2 linked regions of the Styela clava genome follow. The protein of the gene in region 1 interacts with the protein of each later gene in a pairwise test. Links are inferred from orthologs where the notes say so. Each region holds a gene or a part of one and is shown on either strand. Other genes may lie near its edges. The genes, in order: programmed cell death protein 2-like and small ribosomal subunit protein uS5.

Region 1 (12,956 bases):
GGTTTGATTTGAACTAAACACGTGTTTCAAGAATCTTTCTGTGTCATAATTTATATATTATAGACTTTTTAAATGATACGTCAAAATTTCACATCACAATTTTGTTTGGCGTCATTCAAGCATTTACAGTGTTTACTTCACTAGACCCCAACTTTCTAAACCCTATATGGAGCAGTCAGTGCCATACATATGAATATTTTCAATCCAAATTGTTTTTATTTGTTCAGAAACACTGGAGACACGGAACGAAGATATCATTTACGATATTATAAAACTGGAACATGTATACATGAGACTGATTCAAGAGGAAACTGCGTTAAAAATGGTCCGCACTGTGCTTTTGCACATGGTGCACCTGATTTAAGGCCCCCAGTGTACGATGTACGTGAAATGGAAAAACCCGACCCTGCCCAGAGAGCGGAACCTATTGAGCAATGTAATCTATCAGAAAAAATTATCAACGATGATCCGAAATGGCAGGATGGGAATTACGTTTTAGCAAATTATAAAACTGAGCCATGCCGAAGGCCACCCAGGCTTTGTAGACAAGGTTACGCTTGTCCGCAATTTCATAATCCCAAGGATAGAAGAAGAAATCCTAAAAAATATAAATACAGGTGAGTTTGAATTTATACAACTTTCAATTATATTACACTTCTACTGCTAGAATGAATGAATCTATGAATGGTGTATGTAATTCCTTTTTTCAGAAGGGACTCTATTGGCAGTTGGACACTTTGTAAAACTCTGGTCATGAGTCATGACATTTGCTACTTGTGTTTAATACGTACAGAATTTCGATTGAAAGGTGTTGTCCAAAAGTGGTGTGTGTTCACTTACCTAAAATATATATTCCTTAAATATCACATATGCTTGTTTTTGTTTTTATAGGTCTAGTCCTTGTCCCAATGTGAAACAAGGAGATGATTGGAAGGATCCATCCTCATGTGATAAAGGAGATAATTGTCAGTTCTGTCACACTCGTACGGAACAACAATTCCATCCGGAAATTTACAAAAGTACAAAGTGTCACGATATGTTACAAAATGGTTACTGCCCTCGGGGACCGTTCTGTGCTTTTGCCCATGTTCATACAGAAATAAGAGTCTTAGAAGATGTGGATTTAAATAATTTGCCACCAGGAGTACAAGTCTTGTCTCCCAACAGCCTAAGTCCTCAAAGTTCCGGACCACAAGATGGGGGTATTGCTCCATCAGAGCCAAAAGCTGTTCCTAGTAATGCACCAGGAGCGGGGCGGCCTCAAGCTCCGAATGATCTACGTTTTTCTGCGTCTTTTGAATCGACAAAAAATGTTTGGAATAGTGATAGCCCCACAATCGGAGGGATACCGGCGCCATTTTCATTGCCTGATCGTCATCAACAGCAATCTTTATTTCAATCCCCACAGAGTCCTTTGGATTCTGTTTCGAACAACACGTTTCCATCATGCCCTTCACCAATCGCCAAACCGAACTGGCTTTCTAGCAGCCTTGGAAAAGGGGAAGGATATTTGAAAGCACCAGGATCGGGAAGAGGGGAATTTCAAGCTCAAAGTCTCGGCGGTCTTGCGAGTAGTCCCTTCTCATGGGGAGGCGGTTCCATGAGCTCGCATTTGATTGGTCGAAATAGTTTGTCAAGTACGGAATCGTCTCCGAAATCTCTAAATAGATTAAGGTTACTGAATTGTGAGGCGAAACCGTTTTATCCTCCTGATGAAACCGTCGATTCCGTAATTGGAAATGCCCTGGATGATTTTGAAGGTCATGATTTATTGGATAATAAATCAGGACCCAGTTCTGCGAGTAAACTTTGGCCTGATCCGATAGGGTCCGGACGAAATGATAATTCCTCATTTTTTACGATGTCTGCTCCAGTGAATATTCCTCAGGAAATGAGAATGTCGCAACGAAATCCGTTACCCACTCCATCACCACCTAGTGGAGCAAATCAGACCTCATTTTATGGGAGTCTCGACGCTGTTGGTGGAAGAGGTAGTTACGCTGGTTCTCTCCCATCGATAGGACGCCCCCCTAGTTCATCGGGATTCAGCAGTAAAGAAGGATTTTCAGGATCAGTTTCCGGGAATGACAGCGCTCTCATGGAGTTAGATAGAATGCAAAGAAAATGCAAACAATGGGAAGAAAGCTGGAATCAAGCGAAAACTGCGTGTGACGCATGGAAAAAAGAAGCGACAGAGGCGAACGAAAGAGCAAGGATCGCTCAAGAATCAGCTAAAAAGAATTTGGAAAACGCTCAAAGTTATGAACATGAGTTACAAAAAGCAAATGATGAAATCGCAATTCTAGCTGAGGACGTACAAAACAGGGAAAACTCAAAAAATATTCAAAAATGTATGTTTTTACACAGAGCTCAAAAAACTACTATGCTTAAACAAAGCTCTGTGAAAGATTTAAAAGAACTTCGTACAAAACTTAAATCAGATTTAGATTCCGTAGACAAAGTTTTATGGGAATCCTACGGGATTCATTGCGAAGAAGGATGGGTTAAAAAATGACTTGCAACAGACTGAAAAAAATAATTTTTTTAAAATAAAAACTGAAACAAATGAAATTTATCATTCTTGTTATTAATATTATAACCGATTTATTAACTTTTAACCTAATTTTGGATTATAGAGGAGAGTCTAGTTCGATATAATTTTTTGTTTGTTTTAGATGTGTTTAGATGTAAAATTAATACTGATTTATTTTTAAGTGCGGGCATACTTGACTCATATGTAATTTAGGGTATCAGACACAACGTGAGCCATGTTCTAGCTGGCACACACCTTTTCGAAACCAGCATGCCTCCTATATTAAGATTATAAGACAATTATTTTTTTATACTGTAAATTTTAACATTGCAGTTTCAATAGGTTCCATTTCTACTTATCAATTTGTGTTTTCTCTGTTTTACTTTTCAAAACAGAGCTTGGGGAACTGTTCAAGTTACTAGTGTTTTAAGATAAAAAAGTTTTCAAAGACTACTATTTCTGGATTCTATTTCAACGCTCGGCTATTAATATTTGTCGATTGTTATCTGACTATTTTTCCTCGGAACAAGACCTAGTACAGGAAGCCAATATACATAGATATTGTTTTGAAATATTTTAGTCGACTTTCGGGATGTCCTAGGAATTAAGTCAATTTCATGTGAAAATTTCAGACATCTTATTAGGACAGTGGTTCTCAAACTTTTTAAGCTGCACCCCCTTTTTATAATTTATCAAGTCTCGTGCCCCATCTAAAAAATAACTAGCTAACAATAAGCTATAGATAATAGGCGAAAGTAAGTTTTATTCAAAAAGCATATTGAAGATACGTGGACGGAACGTAAATATCCAGAATAAAGAAATGTAACTATCTAAAATAAAACGGCAAGATCCAATTTAACGAATATTTTTATTTGTGATTAGATTCAAACCCCCTCAAAAAATTGTCTACACCGGGGGTCTCTAACTTAATTTACCTAGGGGCCACTGGGGGCAGAGTCTGGGTGGATCAGGGCCACATCAGGTTTTAAACAATAAAAATTTGTGGGGTGCGCCCCATCTTTTGAGAACCACTGTATTAGAATATAGAAACATCTATCTATATCAATTCCTACATTCTACAATTCCATGGTACATAAACTACTCAGCCAATTTGTGTTGAATTAATTTATATGTGAATATTCTCAAGACAGGCAAATGAATTTATACAAACTACTATACAGGGAGTTTATAAAGTCTTTCAAATTTTAAAATTTTGAAGGAAAATCATAGATATGTATGGTTTGTGGGCGCACATAGGTGTATTAAATGAAGTAAATAAAACTAAATAAGCACTGATAAAAATAAACCTGTATAGGACATACTGAGAATTGACTTCACAATGAAATTGAAATCGTGAAAGGACTTTGTATATCCATCACTTTGCTACTGCATGCTGGGGAAACAACAAAACTATTTTTATGAGTCTCACCTAATGTATATTTATTTTAAGAACCTTATTTCAAAATGTGGATTTATTTTTTCATATGGTGCTGTTGAAAATGTTGTTTAATCTACTAAGAAATTTAAGTGTTTTCATGAATTACAAAAATAGTCCAATTTACGGTTATGAATTCTTATTCAATTTCTGTAAATCTTCTGTTAATTTTACCATTTTTGAGCAGTGTGATTTTGGTGTTTTATGGCGATTTTTAGAGTTTATCTATGATCATGTTTGGTCCAGTTTCTAGAAGTAGTCGATTTTACGAGGCCATATTTGATCTGTAATAAACTTTTTATATACCTGTTGACCTTTCACCCCTAGAAATTCATTTTCATTTAAGGTGTATTATTCTTTGCCAGACTGAAAGGTTTTTGTGGTTGTGCTGCTTCAGCAAAACTAAACCAAAAATCTAAATTATTTTCAATCTCTTGCATTAGAAACGAAATTAGATTGACTAGGATAAAATTTCATGCCAAATGTAATTCCAAAGAAAAAATGGTAAATTTATCTTTTCTTGGAAGTGGGCCGAAACACTTTTAATACAATTTAATCAGATATTTCAGCTTTGAAATTTTATAACTCAGATTGCCTTGTAAAATTGTTAGGAATAGCCGGAAGATTCGATTACAACAATTCAAATTGATCTTATTTGACGAAGGTGTTTTTTTGCAGCTCAAAAATAATCAAATTTGCTGTGAAATTATCGAATTCAACAGGGAATTAGCAGTTGTATCTAAAGTGTGATATGTCGGTAATAGTTCGGGAATAACAAATTGCAGACATGGAGTGGAATATATGGGTTGTAATTGTAATGTACAAATATTTCTTCTATACTGTACTCTTATAATGGAATTATTTACTTTTCTTTATTAATCGTGAAATGCAAACTAGCTAATTCGCTGATTATCAGTTTTTATCAGCAAAAACACCTTTCTGTTTGTCAGACAAATATATTTTTGTGCGACAATTGGTGTCTTATTGGTATGAGTTGAATATCTTCCCCTATTTCGTTTTTTATCCCAATTTTGAGGTACAAGATGTCTTTACTGATATTTTGGCGCTCCCGAAGTATGTGTACCAAGATGGCGCACAACCTGAACCACAACCTGGTACCCGTACTATGTTGAGGTTGTGCGCCATCTCTGATATTTGTGCCCAGTCAGTAATGTGCTTGTGAATATATCGCTTCATCATACTGCTGCTTGTGATTAGGATAGGATTTACATACTCATCCTGGGGGAGATAAACATGCTAAGACGACTTAATCATATGGCAAACCACGGCCTCTCATCCGGTTATCAGTCCGTGTTGGGTATGGAATTAGTTGGCCAATTATTTTCATCCCAGGTGCATGGGCCTTGATACTTGAAATGACTATCATAGATATCGGGACTGTCATGTCGTATTTGCTACATGAAGTAAGTTTTATTTCGTGTTCCAGGGCTAAATGGTGCTGTCCCAGTATCGGAGTCAAAGATATTTGTAACCCTCTATCGAATCTCGTAACTTCCCGGGTTAGATTGCAAATTCTCCAGACTTCCTGAGTTTTTACTAATTTCCCGGATTCGTTCCGTTTCAAACGATAAATGATATGATTTCGTATTTATCCCGATGGAAAGGTTAGTTAGTAGATAAGATTACTTGATAATGCGGCAAACCATCGTCTCTCGTTCGGTTGGCTGTCCATGTTGGCCATTGTAATATTACTTGACAGGTATGTTTCGTTAAGAATGCACAGCATTGCTAGCGGAGGAGGCTGTAATTTACCACGGGTTGAAAGACTAAGGATAGGCTACAGTGCGACGTCGAACTGCCATGTTTAGGTGATGTATCTAAAAGGCGCGGCGGCGTGGCTCAACGGGCTAAGCGTTAGGAATACGCTCGCCACCGCACCTCTAATTACTCTGCGTGTGTTCGCAGGTTCGAATCCCATGCAGGATGGTTATGTGCGAGAGGATTGCTGGACTCCTCGCCGTCGTTGGATGGTTCACGGAACCGCTGGTCGGTTACGGCTTCCTCCACCACTAAGTCCATGCAAACAATATAACTAATCCCATACCCACTTGAAATGGTAACCGGACGAGAGACCGTGGTTCGCCATATGGATAAGCCGTTTTATCGGCTTTCCTCTCCCCTGGGATATATATATATGTAAATCCAATCCTAAATGTGATAGATTCATCTTCACTTGCGTAAAGTGGCATTCCACACATGTAAACCCGCTAAGACTACATTAGGTATAATAAAATAGCTAATTAATATTGGGTTATCGTAAAAAAAAATTCTGAGGGCAAAATGTGAAGCCCATGGTATTATAATTTTCCCTCTAGAGATACAGCGAACGATATTATGTGATATGTAATATATGTACCACATTTAAACGTATATATAGTTTGCGCATTTACTCTCTAATGAACAGAATATGTCTGCGCATATGCCAAAATAAAATGAAAGAAAGTTACCGTTTAATGCGTTTATAAATATGTTAAATTTGGTGCCAGAGGTAGGGGTATGAAGCAAAATTCAAACGACTTTTTCGTCGGTTCAATATGGTATTTAGAAAGTCATCTCATATAATGACAGACAGTAAAAAACATTCTAAAAAATTTTAAGGTCCGTTTGCGCGAACCTACATTACCGCGAAATTGATTCATCAGCAAACACGGTGATTCACTTTCAGTCATTCATTCGTAACCGCCGCGCCGACGACTTCATTGATAATGTTGTTTGGGTTTTGTTGCAATGGAATCTGATCAAAGCAGTCAGGGTTCATCCTCGACGGGAATTGAACTTGGATTTTTAAAAAATATCGATCACGAAGACTTTTGGAGACTATATAGGTTTGTAATTTTACGAATTTGCAATATTATGTTTAACATTTTAGATAAGTTAATCGAAATTGGAAATTGCAGAAATGTAAAATTTGATAGTTCGATTGTGAAATAATTATTTATGTGTACGACGGATTAAGATTGGCCTATATCACTTCTGGTTATCTATTTATAATCTACTAGCATATCAGAATTCTGCTTCAAATTACTTCATATATATTTTTAAACAATACAATTTATTTCGGCATTCTGAAAACAATGAAATGAACAAAACATAGAATAAAGTTTATGATGCGGGTGTGCTCGTTCACCAAAATTAACACAAATAAAAATACTTACATCATAAAAAAAAGACTCGATGAGCAGCAGTGAGAGGATTCTCGGGCATTTTATGTTGAAGAAAAGTGAGTCACACGGGTTGAAAAAAACAACGATAAAGTTGATAGTGTGTCGGACACAAACGTGTTTTGGTCAAATCAACGCACTGACGCATGTATTTATGCGTTCGAATTCTATAACGGTAAGACGTGACCGCGCCATACTATTACATCACTCAACCTAGCTACCTATATCAGCTGGCAAGAATAACTATATAATAATTGGTTTATTAACTTATTTAATAATATTTTTTTTAATTTCAAGATGCTACTTTCCTAGCAAACTGGGAGGAAAACCTGCCTGGTTGGACCCAAAGAACTTGCCTTCAACAGAAGAACTGAAATGCCCATCTTGTGGAAAACCAACAATATTCCTTCTTCAAATTTATGCTCCAAATGAAAACCTGGATGACGCTTTCCACAGAACTATATTTCTATTCTGTTGCAAAACACCTTCTTGTTATTCCACAAACTCGAATGGTCCTTTTCGCGTTTTCCGATGTCAGTTAAAAAAAGAAAATGCGTTTTACAGCTCTGAACCTCCAGACTACGATTCAAGAACATTTTCCCAGTCTTGCATGAGCTACGAAAATTTATGTAATATTTGTGGAAACAAAGGAGATAAATTATGCTCTAAATGCAAACTTGTTGCATATTGTAGCCGAGAACATCAAGTTTTAGGCTGGAAAAGTCATAAGGTGAAATGTGGCAACCTTGGAAGTGATTCTGATGGAGAAAATGAAAGTTCTTTAAAACTTCTCTACCCTGAAAATGAAATTATAATAGAAGCGGAAGGAATTTTAGACGACTTGGACGACATTAAAGAAAATGGTGTTAATGAGGATTACGAATCTGAAAATGTTTCTCAAAATCGAAGCTTTTCTCCGAGAGAATTAGAGCAATTTGCAGATTATAGTATTGAAGATAATCAATTTGCAGTTTTCAGAAAAACAATATCAAATTCATCGGATCAAATATTGAGATATGATAAGGGCGGCCAACCTTTATGGTGTTCTGACGAAAACAAAATGTTGTCTGAAAAGGTCCCGAAATGTGAGAATTGTGGATCTGTACGTCAATTTGAATTCCAAATTATGCCGCAACTTCTGAATCATCTGAATTTAGAGTCGAGTTTAGATGGTCCGTGCATAGATTGGGGGATATTGGCAATATATACTTGCTCTAATGATTGTGTGTCTGAAAGTATCAGTTACATTCCTGATTATATTCATAAACAGGATTTTTCACATAATGTTGGAGATTGATATTAGAGTTAAATTACAGGAAAGATTTCCTATTTTTCAGTTCGTTTTTAGTTTATGGAATTTTTTTGGTGCTTTTCCGATTTGAGTTTTGTTTAAAATTTGTTTGGTGTTTTAGTAAAATGCAGAATAATAAAATTAGGTGTTGTTTTTATGGCAAAATCATATTTGTTATGTATATTATAGTAGAATTGAATATATAGAATGATTTTTGCTGAAAAATGATCTATTTAAATATTATTTAAAAACTATGATTAATTGAAGGATTCTATAGAAATAGCAAATTTTTGGAAAATATTAAATTTTGATATGGGAATTTTTTTAAGACTTCAATTGCTAAAAATGATAATTTTTCAATTAAAACCATCTTAATTTAATTCTATAATAAAATAATTAGAATATTGAATAAAATTAATGCAAACTAATTTGCTTATTTGATCGATGTGGACGTCCATACTGTCCATGTGTTCAATAATCAATCCCACTAAGTTATAATACTAGTTTTTTTGATATAATTTGGTCTGTTTTTGAGTTTTAGTTCCATTTACTCAACTGACTTTCAAAGAACTGGAAAGAGCTTGAGAGCATTGCCTGAGTTTGACCAATTTATATTTCTTTTACAGCGTAGGCTATATAATTTAGTGTTAGTTATGTCAGTGGTCTTATTCATTATAGCTACAATCGTTGGATACTATTTATACGATCTATACATCCAAGATTTAAGACAAAGTGAAAAGGACTCTAATTCATCTCGAAGCTCGAGTATAGTGGCAGAAAATACTTGCACCATTCCCGGGTGTAATTGTCAAAATAATGGTGGATTTTTTCGATCATTGTTTAAAAGTTGGAATAATAATTATCACGATCCACACGCCTTGATTCATGAGAAACCATCACCATTTCAATTCCGTGCCTTCGAAGACAGGTTTGTTGTTATTTCCAAATTTTATTCAAATATAAGTATTAAGCCTTCTATCTGGTGGTGAAATAGAGAACGATTACTCTCCTTTTAATTTTATTACATCTCTGCGTTTGTATGTGTGTGATGTAATAATTCATTTTTAAGCGGTTGAACACTTCTTTTGGCAACACCTTTCAATTCAAAATTTGTTTGTTTTATATATTACTTATAGTTTAGGTTCTCTCCCGATTCTGTAATCAGTTTATTTTATTTATTTTTATCAATTATTTTTTCGTCTGTTATGTTGATTATGGAGTCAAAATACACTTATAACTTAACTTATACTTATACAACAGGTTATAATCCTGACATGTATGATGCCCAACATGATTTAGTCCTATGTCTTCTGCAGAAGTTAACCAGTAATATATTAGCTTAGTCATTGAGTCAATGATTATGCCTTGAGTGCATATTCTGAATAAAATTGATATTGTAGATCTCTGGTATTTATTTTAGAAAAAGTTCATTTTCAGTCTTATTATTAAATTGGTGTTGTGCTGATCTGAAAAGACTTTGGTTCTTTGAATTTTGATTATCCTTCCATCCCATGTCATACAACCTAGGCTGTAACAAAGGTGTGAAAAATTTTCATGAAAAAATACAGGGAAAATCATTTTAACATATAAAATAAGGGGGGGGGGGGGGAAGGCTCATCGGCATAACAAGACTTTCAGTTTCAATAACATAGAAATCTGACTTCAAATTAGTGCTGACCTCATTTCTCATTGGAATCTCGACTTTTCAACCATTTTTATTCTCAGATTCAAATCGCTTGAAGATGTAACTCAAGCCATCAAAGAAGCAGGCTTAGAAGAATGTCGACTTATACTAGGAATAGATTTTACAGCCAGCAATGAATGGCAAGGACGATCCACTAATAAAGGACATTCCCTTCACCATGTCAGCTCCAGGTAATATTGTTCAATCAATTAAAATATATATATTAAATTATCAGTAGAAGTTGTGCAGGACTAACTCCAAATCCTTCCTCAATGCCTAGTGCAGTGGTTCTCAACCTTTTTTCTTTTGTTGCATAAAAATTTTTTGGTCCAATAAACCTCAACTATAAAAAATAAATGTTTCGTCCGACCAAAATCAAACTTCCTCAGACAAACAGTTTTTGTTATAAACTGTTTGTTTGTGGAAGTGTTAGTGTGCAGCAGGACTCTTCAAATTTCATAGTAAACATCAAATATTTCAATATTTTCCCGAGTTGTGAATATGATGTTTGTGCTTTATTTTTGTCTTTCACTCTGCAGTGACATATGTATTAAGTGCTGGAAATATAGGCAACATAAATTTTCTTATACTAATATAGTGTTTCAAACTAGTTATTGAATGTAGAAGGAAATTATAACTGACTTGAGTTCTTATTCAATGCTGGAGAATTATAAAAAAACGCGGATTTGTTGTCATTTTTCTACGCAAATAATAGATATTTTTTGAAAATATAAATTTTTTTCTTTGTATTACCATTGTAAAACTAACAGCCTATCGATCGCCCTGAAGAAAATTATAGACAAACGTTGATTTAGGGTCAATTTTCTACTCATATAATAGGCATTTCCTTGAAAATATAAACCTTTTTCTTTGCATTACTATTGTAAAGCCAGCCTATCAATTGCTCTGGTAACTGGAAACCATTAAAATGAATATAAAGTGCTTTCGTAGAAAATTAATGAATTACTTGTATTGACCAATTAAACTTATTTCACAACTCTGTAATAATTATTTATAACTATCAGTAGAGGTTTCGCGAGACTAAATCCCAATCCTTTTTCAATGCCTTTGCGCTAGTGGATCCATATGCGTATAATGCAAGGATGCTGTAGTAGGAAAATGCCATAATATGCAATTCAAGCAAGAGTCCTGCTGCACACTAACACAAAGATCTTTCTGTAACGTTTCGTCTGACCTGACCTGAATATATTTGTGTTAGTGGGCATCAGGACTCTTGATAATTCTTAAGCCTGCAAAAATGTTATTGTATTAGTAGGGAAATCCGGAATGAAATGAAGATTTGAATCAATTCATGATTAATAATGTTCAATACTTTCTTACAATTTCAATACCACCTAAATTTTAAGAATAAATTTTTTGGTGATTTTTCATGGTTTTTACTTTGCAAAACTTTTCATGGTTTTTCACGGTAGAATTTCTGATACCATGAAAAATAAGAAAACCATTTTAAATTAGTCTGCACTTCATCAGTCTTGTTTGAGATGTGGGTACGGTATTTACTATATATACACTTTAAAATTGCAGAGGAAGCTTTAATCGACCAGCGGTTACTCGAATGACCCTGTATTAAGGAATGTTCCATCATTGTTTTATGCTTGTTAAACAGCAAACTATGAGCTCTTCCTACTATATTAGTATCATCAGAATTCCTGTTTGGTCTCTGTCATTTCCTCTCTTTGTTTTCATAACAAATAACGTGGGAGGTTTTAACAGGTTATGTCTACCTGTATGACCTTATTTATGTGATGACATATGAGGAAGTAATATAAGGAAGAAACACGATTTCTGATTATGCAAAATTTTGTTTAGAAAGATTTGAAAATCGAATAATTTAAAATTCTTATCTGTGGATATTTAGAGAAGCTAACTACTGTATCGTTTGCTCTAAACAAGGCCCTGTACAAGCCACCACTGATATTGTACGATTTGTAAATTAGAAGGAATTTTTCTGGTTTGGCATTACCTATGCAATTTGTTACACCCCAGGTTGAGTTGGCATGGGGCATGCTACTTGTACCTGAGAATGAGATCTGTGATGGCCAATGCCAACACAACTGCCTAAACTGCTAGGTTCTGCTAAATGTATTATTAAAATTATATACTGTCTTCTTCAACTGTAAATTGGTCGTCATGGCGATCTCGGTCGTACTTTGGCGACTCTGGGTATTAAACTTTGGCTCCCAACTTGCGACAAACAGGCGGATAGGCGGAGAGATAAAAAGTGTATGTGGTCCAGGAGAAAAAAAGTTTGAGAAACGCTGGTGTACTTCGATAACAATAAGGCCTAAATTGTGCTTAATTTATCTTGCACTTAGTAATAATCTCTCTAATATTACAGGTCCCACATTCAAAACCCTTATCAGCATGTAATCAGCATTCTGAATCGAACTTTGTTAGCCTTGATGACTCCTTATGGACATGATCCTTACGTAAACAACACACGCATGTCCGTCAGAAAACCGGCAAAATTACAGTGCATTCATGCATATGGTTTCGGGGATTCTCTCACAAAAGATAAATCAACTTTTTCGTTAAATCCGAGTCACGTGCCTTGTTCATCTTTTGACGAACTACAAAAATTTTATAAGGAGACTGTAAACAGGGTAACACTAGATGGACCGACGAGCTACGCTCCTATTATTAATAAAGCAATTGAAATTGTGGAAGACACAAATAAACAATTTCATATTTTAATTATCATCGCTGACGGGCAATTTGTTGACGAAGGGCCAACAGCCGAAGCAATAGTAAAAGCCTCAAATCATCCGCTCAGCATTGTGGTCGTCGGGGTCGGCGACGGACCATGGACA
Region 2 (13,349 bases), on another chromosome or scaffold:
TCGAAGCAACAACTTTTTCTGATGACTCAAGATCGATGCATTCGTAGTAGTGTCTGTCACCCGTCACCTCAAAAATATTGTTGACTAGCACAGTGCGTACTGCAGTAAAACAGACAGGCCCAAGTAGATTGTGAATTAATCTTCTATGTCCATACGAAGTTGGTGGGTGTCATTTGCTTCTTCTTCAACTCTTTCAGCGATGGCGAGCTCAATATATCGAATCCCAATACTCTTCATCCCCGACTGCACAATGCTCAAATATATTTACAAGTTTACTGGCAACAAAATATTAATTTATATTCATCAATTGAGCAGAAAGGTAATATTCGATCAATGTGTTGGTAATAGCCATGGGAATATATTACACGTGTTTTCAGAATTTTTCTTTATTTTCCAATTTACATGATGGTGGTGTTCAATTATTGAAATGGCGTTCGTTCTTTTTCTAGTTTACTAAGCAATGTAATCAGTAGTGTATTAATTCGTCGTGTTGTAGTAATGCTATGAAAGTATTTCTAAATAAACAGAGGTATGGTTATACAGTCCACTCCGCCAATTGAACGTCTGTGTGGTGAGGGACTCGCTTAGGGGCTGTCTTATAGACATTTTGATTTTGATTCTAGACCACACAAATGTGTACTGATAGTCCGGTGTTCGGAGTCGGAAGCTTGTTCTATCATATGATTTCAATGCCTCTTCTAGTCCAACATTTCTTAACCAGGGTTAAATTTACACATGAGATAAACATTGGTACTCGAGTTTATGAAACAAACGCGCGAAAAAACGTATTCGTTGTTTTTCAAACGCCAATATATGCGGGAAAAGAATATATGGCAAAGTAGTAGTTCTCTATATATGAAATAAAACCTTTTGCGTCCACTTTGGCTCGTGCACCTCTAAAAGGGAACGGCTCTAAGAAGACATCTTGAGAGATATTAACAGTTCAATTGTTTTTTCATAAGCGTTGTAACAGCATTGCTGCCAGTATCTGCATACTGGTATACTAGTAACTATAGTATAGGGCCGATTTTATCAAATTGGGCCATCGCACCTTGAAAAGGCCAGTAATTAAGGCTTATGTCAAGTTTGAACACCTGGTAGAAAACAATAGATTTACAACATTTCCTAATGTTTTCATTGCGTTGAGGATTTATTTAACGATGCCAATAACTGTTACATCAGGAGAAAAAAGCTTTTCAAAGCTGAAACTAATTAAAACATACTTGAGGTGTGCGGTCTCACAAGAAAGACTAAACAGTTTGTCAATGCTTTCTATAGAAAGCAAGATAGCAAAAGCTATTGATTTTGAAATTGAAGCCGGTTTGCCATTTTTGGCTTTTTTCAAACGCGTTTGGCGTCAGAATTTCCGTTTGGCTTTTTGGCGTTTTTTTGGCTTTTTCAAGTCTATTCTAGTGTCTATTAATAAAATCATATGAAATACAATATTTAGTGTGTAACAACTGAACAATAGCCTATTACCTGTAGCCTACTTAGCTACTTAACATTAGGATTTCCTGGAGCATCGATTTCCTTGTTTGTTACTTTAACTCTTAACCATACCCAATAAGAAATAAGTGCAGTTTCTGCAGCTGCTCAGACAGATGTTCAAGCAGGGTTGGAAACATCGCCTCGTTTTTATAGTTTTGCGTGTTATTTGTCAGTTTACGTTCTGTTTCCAAAAAATAGTTGTAGGCCTATAACTCAATTTTCATTATGCCTGATATGGTTTATGTGGCTTTTTCTGGCTTTTTTTATGTCCTGATTCGGCTTTTTGTGATCGCTGGGGTCTGACAACCCTGGTCGTAAGTTGTTTTCTCTCTGTTTAGACTTTAGAGGTCTTTTGTTCTGAACTGAGTTGAGGAACAGACGTCCAAATAAATCGCGTGCAGTTTTGTAATGAGTCTGTGTTCATTACTTGTTATAAAGATATAACATATGCTTTTTCCATAATTCGTGACTTATGGGGTAATAAAAAAATATGGACCTGTGGATCAGTGACTTCGCTATCTGCTGTCTATATAATGATGTGTTACATCTCATAATTTTAACTTGTATTTTTCTGTAAAATGACAAAGATTGAGGTATTGACTTTTCACTATTACAGAAGGTGGATTTGTCATCGTGATAAATGTATGATCGTATGAAACAAGAAGGGCAATGCGAAGAAGAAGTCTACCCTACCTTCTAAAGTACAGCTACATCCAAAAAGCTTCCGACTTTCGCGGAGCAAGAGAGTAGCACGCGAGAGGTTGAGGAACCGCTACAAACAATTTGTATTCATTTTAAAGATTTCATCACACAAAATTTTGTAGTAAAAAACGAATCACATAGAGCCCACAGAAAATTTTGAAATTAATAAAGTTATAGCCTTCTAGCGATAAAATATATTGCACTGAGAATTTTAAAGCAATTGATCCAGTAGTTAATGAGAAAAGAAATTTTCCCATACGGTAACAACTAACAACCAGTGGAAAAATACCAACAAGAACAACAACCTAATAAAAACGATCCAATAATGCGATAAAATTACATCGTATTTTGGTTTTGTCGTGGTGAAGTAAGACATAAAATTACAATTAGAGATAGTGCGCATGTAGTAGGCCTACTGTGTATGAGTATTGATGCAGTATGTATGTATGTACACGCTTGAAAATAAGCAAAGTTTCAAACTTCAGAAACAACTCCGGATTGATCCATAAACGCAACCTACACAAATATTACAGAAAACAGACATATATTGTTTGCCGGATAAATTTTAAGACGACTTTAGACTGAAACCTTACAATTTTCATAGCACGGAAAAGTTGGAGCTAGTTCTAACAATAATTAAGTTCAGTAAAACATGTGGCACGTTTCTTACTGATTTAGTTTAATTACTTTCCGAACAATAAAAACAAATGGATGTAATATTCTGAAAAAGTAATCATGTGTTATACTGATTATGGATTCAAAATACTGTTATACTTACCTATTTAGAATAGTACGGTGGGAAAAGATAGATTCTGGGGTTATGTATGATAGATAGATTTATTGATTTGTCCTCCAAAAACAAATAAACGGAGTGAAAAATACAATAAACAGACCTGATGTTTTCTGGTAAAGATTGGAGGGGGCGATACTAGTACGACAATACAGTCAACTTATGTTATGCATATATAGGGTTCACAGTTCATTGGGTGACTATATGAAAGTATTGAAGACTTTTATTAGATTACGAAAAGATAAACAAGCATAAATTCAACAAACAAATAATATTTGAGTTACAGGTTGATGATCTCAGGTTTAACCCCTGTGTTCACCACTTCACCCTGACTGAAAATTTATATATAAATTTAAAGGAGTCTACGCGTTTAATACTATACATATATATTAAAAATATTGAATGGGGTTTTGGAGAGTTAATCAGGTTACCGTCGTGATATGAAGAATTTTATATATATAATATGATTCGGATATAATGATTGCATAAGTAAACTCAGGCCGACTATAGATATCTAATTCATTATAGGATGAAGAAAAGCAAGGATTAAAATATTGCATATAAAATAAAAAGATTTTTATTCTGTTTCTCTCAGACATGTTTTTCGGTCACATATTTGAAAACCTTTACTGATGCTCAACGGCAAAGATATTGAAATAGTGAGTGAAATAAAATACTTAGGAGTTATCCTTGATGAAAATCACTTTTGGAAATAACAAATTGCACATGTTATTGCTAGAACAAAAATGAATTTGGCAGTAGCTGCCAAGGTTTTTGAGTATGTCAATTAATCAACTTTACTAGCAATGTTTTAATCATCATTACTCAGCCACATCCGACACTGTTGCTTAGTCTGGCTCCATGAAAACAAAAAACTCGTCTCGAAATTGCATAGTATTTGTAATAATTTTTTAAGAATTGCTTTCGGGAAAAGAAGATGTGAAAATGTTGACCATTACTTCAAATACTTGTCAAATAGAGGAAGTAACCCCCAGCCGAAGAAGTAACTCCCGATTTGTTTCTACCCTGCATGAGCGAATATGTGAGCCAGCATTCCCAGTGTTTTACTCCATTCCCTGGACCCAAACTTCAGAATTGACTTATCTTGAATTTGGAGACGTTGAAGTACAAAAAACCTTTTCAAAAACAAGTTAAGTCGCTTCTAGGTCCCAAATATTAAAAATTACTGTTTCTAAACTAGATATATGGATATTGGCACATATATACATCATTTTTCTATGAAATTGATTACGATGTGTTGATAGTTTAAAGCAATCAAATATCAAACCTCGAGTAAAATGAGCTTCTTTTTGGTGCGCAATGACGAAAAGTTGGGACACTCCTCTTCCTCCTCGCTTGCACATTGTTATTTTAATGAGAATGTTGGGCAGCTACCAGCTATAATAATAATGTTATTGTCCCTGCAACTACTGGGTACTGTGATTAGGCGTGTTGTTGTGCTATTTTTAACCGCTTTCAAATTTTAATTAGTTTTGTTTTTAATCAAAGTCTGGTAGGGGAAGGTGGGGCACGTTGGGAATGGGGCACAGTGGAAAATCAACTCTCACACCGATACCATATCCGGTCCTCAGTTCGATGTTTCAATCCGCCCTTCGGTGAGTTACAACGTCCCCGCAAACGGACAACGGCCGGGTAGAGCGACGCAAGCTTTGACGTGAAATTGGATTTGGGGGGTTGAAACCAAAATTTCACTATTCTAGTTTTTTCTTTTTTCTACTTTAGCATTTCCAACGTGACAGGCCATGGTATGATATTTCTTAGTTTCAGCCTACTGTAGAATATTCATAACGTTGGCGAGTGGATATGCCTTCCGAATTTCCCCGTGGGATGGTCTGAAAGTATTTGTTTATTATGGGGAACAATGGACCGGGGTTCAGATGGGATGCCCTACATGGCACAATTCGACAGTGTTTGATACAATAAGTCCTTAGAGACCTACAGATGGGTCATATGTTGTGTAATATTATGGTATCTTTCGACCCATGGCCCAATATGGAATATATTCGAGAATCAAAAATATTTCCAGATTTAGATTTGAGAAAAAAAATAATTTAATTTGTTTGCTAAATATTTTGATACAATAGCTGAAATATTTCGGTTGAACATTGATTTTAAAAATCCTAAATCTTCAAATTTGAAGTCTTCCTGTTCTTTATTAGACGATTAGGATGATTGATTGCTTATTTTTAAAGGAATACATCGTTGCATTTTGACAGAATGACCCATTGTGCTCCATGGTTAGGCTTACCATACATCCCGCTTTAGGCGGGACAGTCCCGCTTTTCAGCGTTTTGTCCCGCCGTCCCGATAAGTCAGCCCAAAGTCCCGCTTTTCCAGCATAATACACAAACATGTTCTCGTTACTGTTGTTTCTTTGTAGCGCAGCGCTAGCCTACTTACTGAAGGCGAATGCGTTCGTTTCCCACTGATTCCCATTGATGGCAGACGTATCGCATGTAAAACCAATACTAATTAGTCTAAATTCGAATTATTTGTACCGGTATCGTTAACGTCAAGTCCTTCCTATTTTTCGAACTGAACCCGATATTTTGACAGAGAATATGCGCATGAAATTTCGATAACAATATGGTCAATAAAGACAGCCGAGACAGCTTTAAATGTAGGAATGTGGGCCTATGTAGTAAAATCGGAAAATGTGAAGTTATAAAATCACAGCTAAGGGGTCGTTGTCTTTCGGGGCGTCCCGATTTGAAGCCACAAAAATATGGTAACCCTACCCATGGTCTGTCCGAATGTGCCCCACAAGTGGGGTACAGTGGGACACTTAACAAACGTTTTTCAAAGCATTTTGGCAGTAAGATGTGCATCCACTGCATCGCAAGGAAATTTCTTAGTCGCTGAATAAAAACTACATTTACCCTCCTCTCCATTAGTCCCGCACAGTTAAGTGAATGTGCAAGATAAACGGCTAAAATACGCAAAAGAAAAAAGTGTCCCAACCTTCCCCACTTTCCCCTACAAAATATTCGTAGCGGGATATGTAATGCTATGTATGATTTATGGCGTGGTAATCGACATACTTGGTTAGATGGAATTTCTTCGAATAGCTGTTCACATTCTGACACTTGCATGTGCATGCTCCTAACCTCTCCCGTGATGTGAGATCATTCCTATTACGCATGCATGAATTTTCTTGTGTTTGAGTGGTGGTATTTCATGATGAGGGTTGTAGACAATATAATTTAGTTCCTGCAGAATTACTAATTAACTAAGCCAGCAGTCGAGCTATATTGGATTCTACCCTTTACATTTTAGTTTGCTGATGGTGATTTTAATTTGATGTGGTTTTCTATCTTTTATGTAAACATGCATTTTATGTTAAGGTAAGGTGTGAAGTTGACTTGGTGACCAAAGTGTATATAGTGTGCTATGATCAAAGTTGAGTGTTTTTGCATGGTGCAATAATTACTTCTGCGTCTCAAACAGTAATTCCTCCTGGAGCCTCCGACCCTTTTTACATAATGACTGATATTTAATGAACAATACCTCCTTAATTTCATTGGACAATTTCTTTGTCCCAAAACAATAGTTCACAATGTTACCTTATATGCACTCATTTGAACATGTACTCGGAGATTTATTTTTCATTTTTCAGGCTGCTTCGCAATGATCAAATAAAGTCTACACAGAAAACATTTACAAAGACTTTGATGAATCATCCACGTAATCCCAAAGTGATCCTGTGGAATAATAAACTTTATTCCAATATCCTCGTCTGAATTTGCTGTCTATAATTGGGGAAAAACCTATAATAAAACCCTTATAACCAATTTATTACCATGGAGTATAATTTGGCAATATTCGATTCTAACCTCCCATCTTATATATTCTGTTTGCTCTTTTGACGTCATATTTAGTTTTCATTTATTTGTTTTTATCAATTATTTTATCGCCTGTTATGGTGATTATGGAGTCGAAATAAACTGATATTTATAATTGAAATGCACGCTGGGATACTTTTGGAGACATAATTCCACGCATGGCTGACTACGTCACGTGGCCGCACGAGGCATAACAAAAATTTGACCAAAGTCTTTTTGATACCACACAAGTAAGTCTTGGTTGCTTCTGAATTTAATCTGCTATAATCTTGATATTTTCGACTTATTTTGGCCCGATCTCATAAAAAAAATGTGTTTTGTAGGATTGGAGTGAAATATTTCGTTTATTTGTTTAAAACCTCGGATAAATGTTGCAATTAGTACAACAAAATGATTTACTTTCGGCCAGCAATGGCGAACGATAGTTTTGAGGTAACTTTGGGACGTACCGGTACCGTATGTTTTTTTGGTTCATGTTATTTGTGGCTGGTATCAGGTAAACTATGTATTTCAATTTTTAGCATGGCGGACGCAGCACCAGCCAGTGGAGGAGGATTCCGTGGAGGTTTTGGAGGCCGTGGACGTGGCGGCAGAGGACGAGGCCGCGGAAGAGGTAGAGGACGCGGCAGGGGTCGTGGGAAAGATGACGAAAAGACCTGGACCCCGGTCACAAAGCTGGGTCGTTTGGTCAAAGATGGAAAGATCAAATCTCTTGAGGAAATCTATCTTTTCTCACTCCCAATCAAGGAGTTTGAGATCATTGATTATTTCCTTGGTAGCGCATTGAAGGATGAAGTTCTAAAAATCATGCCTGTTCAGAAACAAACCAGGGCTGGACAGAGAACAAGATTCAAGGTAATAATAAATATTTGGTGCTTCAATCAGATTTAACACTGGTTCTTGACCCTTTTTTAGTGTCGGAGACAAATTTCAAACCATAAAGTTGTAAGGAGTCACATAAAAAACAGCGTAATTTAAAACAGCTAACAAAAGTCAATTGTCACATTATCTATTTTCAATTTGAAAATACTTCTCTTTCTGATCACATTGAAACGCATGATTTTATTTTTAAAGAGTGCTATCTTTTTTGAGGATTTTTTGGACCTTTTGTCTTGGTATACTAACCAATAAATATTTTGTTCGAAAATACCTAGACTTTACACAGTGACTAAATATTATAAAGTTGCAAAGTTGCGCTCAAAATGACCTAACAGCTTCGATGACATCAATTCACAGTAGCTTTCGGAACTTGTCCTTCCAAAATGCTTTCACTTGGCTGTGAGCACTTATGCATTAACTGTCAGTGTGACTACTGCATGAAAAAAATATTATGCCCAGACTTTTCTTTTCATTAATGTGTATCCATTCTCTCATGCCTGATTTCTTGATTCCAAGATTCAGGAATTGTATTGACATGAGCTATTTGTTTTTCATCAATATGTATTTACTAACGATCAATTCGTCAATATAAGTTAATAGTCTTGCATAGTTTTTGGTATTTTTGTTTTCGCCTGTAACTTCACTCGTATATTATCATTTTTAATTTTTTAAATGAGTAAGCATAACCTTGCTTAGTTTTACTTAGAAATATTGACTTTAGTCGCATACAGATAGCGAGAAGACTCTTGACAGTTGACACAGTAGCCTATTTTTTCATGGCAGTCTTTTGTTTTTGCTTAATAATAACAGTAATATGATTAAACTACGTTTCGGTACAATAGAACTGAGATTTCTTCGAGTTTTAATAAATTCTTACATAAGTATGCTCTGTAAATAATAATTTTGTATTATTATTGATCAGGTCTACTAAACTTATTTGAAATTTAATTTCCAACCTATTTTTTAGGCATTTGTGGCAGTTGGTGACTTCCAAGGTCATGTCGGTCTAGGAGTGAAATGTTCCAAAGAAGTCGCTACAGCGATTCGTGGTGCTATCATCTTAGCTAAATTGTCTATCATCCCGATCAGGCGGGGTTATTGGGGAAACAAAATTGGAAAACCCCATACAGTACCATGCAAGGTATTGTAATTTCTATTTCGTGGTAATGATTTGTTTGGTTTCAGCAGTATTATTGTCTGTATAATAAAAAGCTGAATCTTGCAATATAAATGTAAATCTTTGTGTCAGATCATTTATACATATCAGCGATGATAATTTAATATACTTCTGCTAAATATTTGTCAATCTTAAAGCCAAGTGAAATCTGCGACAAATGCTAATGATGTTCAGAAAAATATTTGCTACTCTTGAAAATATTTGATGAGAAAAGCTGATCTGAAGCATTTGCCTGTAATGAGAAAATCCACTGTAGTTGATAGCAACTTTTTCCACCTAATGATACGAGCTGTACTTGACTTTTTTGTCTGAGTAAACATTGTACTCTTTGGCAGTGCACATCTTGTGTAGCTACTTTAAATGTTAAACCTACTGTCTATATGTCAGTCCAATAGTTCTCAAAAGAAATCATCAGAGATTGGGACTGTATATCTATCTCTACAAAGGCAAACATGAGATTGTAACCAACGTTTCTAGTTTTTAACTTTTGTAAATTGTCGCCCATACTCAAAATTGTAAATCGCACAATTTTTCAGGTTCATGGTAAGTGCGGTAGTGTCCATGTGAGACTCATTCCTGCACCTCGTGGTACTGGCATTGTCTCTGCACCTGTTCCAAAGAAACTGCTGCAGATGGCAGGGCTAGAGGACTGTTACACATCTGCCCGTGGACAGACTGCCACACTTGGAAATTTTGGTATGTTATTCTGTAATGCACGTCGCTTTATCTTTACTTTTACATATTGCATGGTTAGTTGAAGTAAAATTTTATGCCCTGGTGATACAACTTACATTATTAGCATACGTTCATGGAGTGCCATATCAAGTTAGGTGAAAGAACTTGATGTACATATAGAAAGTGTATTGAATGAGGTAAAAACTTGAATAAACACCAATTAAAATATGAATAACCTGGTCAAGATATATTGAGAACGGACTTCATAACAAAATTTTGAAATTATATTTGAAAAAAATGTAGCTGTCGAATAAACTTTGTGTGTTTCTATTTCAGCGAAAGCCACGTTCAACGCAATTTCAAAAACCTACAGCTATCTTACCCCTGATCTTTGGAAAGATCAACCTCTGGGAAAGACTCCGTATCAGGAATATACAGATCATTTGTCAAAACATCACATGCAGAGCGGAGTTCAACGCCAGGAAGTCAAGCAATATTAAAAACATTGCTACATGCTGTCAAGCTTGCTTGCAGCAGCTTGAGCTCATTTCGCTAAATTAATTAGCCAAATGGTGCTCACCAAATGCTAAAAAATATAAAAAAAACAGTTGGCTAGTCGCTTTTTCGTACCATTATCGCTAATTTACTTTTCTTTCAGTTCAACTGAGGTGACATCTAAATGTTTGATGGAACTTGCTCTTAATCATTTTAGTCCTTGTTTTGACATGGACAGTCGGATCTCTGTTAGTGGTGAAATGTTTTACTATCTTGTTCCTTTTATCTATCACTTTAATTGTGTTCTGTCTGTTAGTATGTTCCATCGTGCCACCATTTGTATGATTTGGTATTTTATCGATTGCTTTGCGACAATGAAATCAGCCATCTGAACTTCTTGTGATTATGGGAAGCGGACAGTGTGGGTTTAAGGCGCTCCTTGTTGGGCCCTGGTATCGTACCACGGTGAAGCTACAGTTTAAATAGTGAGATGTCAATGCGGTAAAATATCTAGTTGTAAAGCGTATTCTAGTTATATCAACTATATTGGGGTGGTAGGTAAAAAAATGAGGCACAGGTTGAAGGTCTGCTTCAGCGACCTAACCCCCGATAAAACGCCGCCTGTGCGTGCTGTGGAGATACGGGACGTTGAAGAAGTTCTCTGCTGAAAATCGGGAAACAACTCTGTCCTCTCATAAGACTACTGCTCGGTGTTACAACACCATTTTGTCGTGGTAAAAAACAAGGCATCTGAAAGTATAAGTTTATTTCGACTCCATAATCAGCATAACAATACATTTGACAGATAAAAACAAATAAATAAAAACTGATTATGAAATCAGGGGAGCAAACAAAACCTTAGATAAGGTTTATAACGTACAAAATATAAGATGGAAGGTTTTGCCAAGAGGAAGTGGTACGTGTTTACTCACCTAAAATTATTAAGTTATTTCACACACGCTCACATGCACCCACCAGCCACACACACACACACACAACCACTGAGAATTTATTTAAGTAAGAATAAAACGCGATAAATTTAGGGTATACTATACAGTAAACAAAAAAAAAAATAAATACTAGAAAAGAAAAAAAAATTTTCTGCCACACCATATTGATATTTTTGTAATGATTGCCATTGCCAAATTGATCGATCTTCTAATCGTTAATTAAGATATAAAAGGAAGATTCTATTGAAAACATATTGCCAAGCTGATTATAGTTGGAGTCAAATGCCAAGTTGCCCAACCAAAGTTGCCAGAATTGGGTGCATGAAGAGGTGGGCGAGACCATTTCATTCCCCAAATTAGAGCCTATTATTGCCAAATTATAGTCCAGATTGTAGTAAGTAATTAAAGTTACCGGTAACACTAAAATTACTATAATTAAGTAAAGTAGGATGTGGAAATAAATTGGTTACAAAGGGTGTAAGTGAGGTTTTTCATTCTTGGGTATTGATTTCAGACAAGGATATAGGAATGAGGTTGTTATTTCACAGGATATCGGAGTCTTTTTTTGATTTTTTTCTTATGTGTTTTACTTCATTTAATCACTATGAAGTAACCTGAAAAACAAAAAATAAAACCGCGAGTAGATGTTTCAATGATTGGGTGAAGGGGAACGCTCTGAACTATTTATTACAGGCAAAAAATAATTGTTTAATTAAATGGGATGTATTGTCATTATATAGCGATGGATAGACTGTACATGGAAAACCTGATTCATTCAATTCATTGTCTTTAGTTGATAATCATTCGTCCAACGAGACTTTTTTGGACCATCGCCGATATGTACCAAAGATGGGTGAATCGCAGGGCTGATATACAGCCATTTTTCAATATATTTATGGAGATCTAAACCATCGGATTTTGCTAAATATGACTCCAAAGCGAACAATTTACCTATGATCAATAGTGGACGCGGTATGTCAAGGCTGTTTATGTGGTTTCTCCATCTGGACGTAAAGGCTTCCCATCTGCTACCCATGCAAATGACTGCAGCCAATAGCAAAGGCATATATATTCTTGAGGGCCCTAAAAATGTGACGGCAAAATATTTTGAAAATCCCGCCATGGTTTTGCGGCAGCTTCAGACGGCACAAAATACTCAAAACTGCACTTGTTTCATCTGGTGATGTCTACAGCAGACGCTTCGACGAAATGGTCTCAGACTTTCCCTCCCAACAGAACGAAGTGACGACACATTTGTATAGTCGGGGAGCTTCGAAAATGCATTTTTCCAAGCTGTTGAGTTGCTCGATTTGAGTGATGGGATAGGAATCAACTTGAAAACCCTGATGAATATTTTTTTTGCACAAGACACCAATGCCACGCCATCAATGTAAGACCATGCAAACGATACCGCGATGCCATATCCACCTTTCTAGCTAGAATCTATTCTAGAGTTTAGAGCTGATCTGGGCAAACTGCGGCTCGCGGGCCAAATCCGGACTGAACAGCAGCCACAGAGGAAGTTCTAAGGAATTGCCACATGAAGGCTGCGGAAAGCTGGAACGAACCCTTTCGACAACTACATTCCTTGCAAATTGGAGATCACGTTCGAATCCAAACCCAAACTGGCACACATTCAAACAAATGGGATAAGACTTGGGTTGTCATTATTATGAGACAGTTCTATCAATACATGTTTAGTCACGCTGACGGGCAAAAAACGCTGACGGACAAAAAATTTATTAGGCGTTACATACCAATATATCCTAGGATGGCGGTGCCAAACTCGTGGGTTCTCGAGGGCCGCATTGCATTTTGGAAATTGTGCAAAAGGCCGCAAACAGTTTTTGATGTATTTTGATAATGTATACTTGAAGCATATTTTAGATAGATTTAGTTTGTGACATATATTGTGATGCAATTAAACAGCCGAATGAAGTTTTGTTATTTTCTTAATTTTCAAATGCCATTTACATATTAATCTTTGCATTTCACTATTATATATTGCAATTCACTGTAATCATAACTTTTTTATGTACAACTATTCAAAACATTTTTGAACAAAGTTTTGATAAGGAATGAATATTACATACACTAAAAATGACTAAATACATAGACCTAAAATTAACAAAAATACCACAGAATAAACTCAATGTTTTTCATTATTACATATGTCCTGACGTTTGGCATCTCTTTTGTGCCACCTGCCTACTAATCAGAGTTGGACCAATTACATCAATTCAATTACAATTACTCCCTTAAATTTTTCAATTACATTACAATTACTCTGTGCAAAAAATATCAAATTACAATTACATTTAAAATTACAA

The links.
Region 2: the proteins of programmed cell death protein 2-like (region 1) and small ribosomal subunit protein uS5 interact in a two-hybrid assay, tested with the Drosophila melanogaster proteins (2 studies listed by BioGRID). The link is inferred for Styela clava from reciprocal best matches to the Drosophila melanogaster genes Zfrp8 and RpS2.

What each region holds. Positions count from the first base shown.
Region 1 is NC_135264.1:14,422,885-14,435,840, reverse strand, and holds programmed cell death protein 2-like, read left to right. Parts: upstream 1-6,645; 5' UTR 6,646-6,716; coding exon 6,717-6,814; intron 6,815-7,447; coding exon 7,448-8,447; 3' UTR 8,448-9,067; downstream 9,068-12,956. Other genes in the region: RING finger protein unkempt homolog, read left to right, coding at 228-617, 892-2,515; uncharacterized protein LOC120333673, read left to right, coding at 9,095-9,369, 10,167-10,316, 12,485-12,956.
Region 2 is NC_135259.1:5,040,699-5,054,047, forward strand, and holds small ribosomal subunit protein uS5, read left to right. Parts: upstream 1-7,055; 5' UTR 7,056-7,073; intron 7,074-7,364; 5' UTR 7,365-7,365; coding exon 7,366-7,698; intron 7,699-8,689; coding exon 8,690-8,863; intron 8,864-9,435; coding exon 9,436-9,595; intron 9,596-9,910; coding exon 9,911-10,074; 3' UTR 10,075-10,462; downstream 10,463-13,349. UniProt on the Drosophila melanogaster protein: Component of the ribosome, a large ribonucleoprotein complex responsible for the synthesis of proteins in the cell.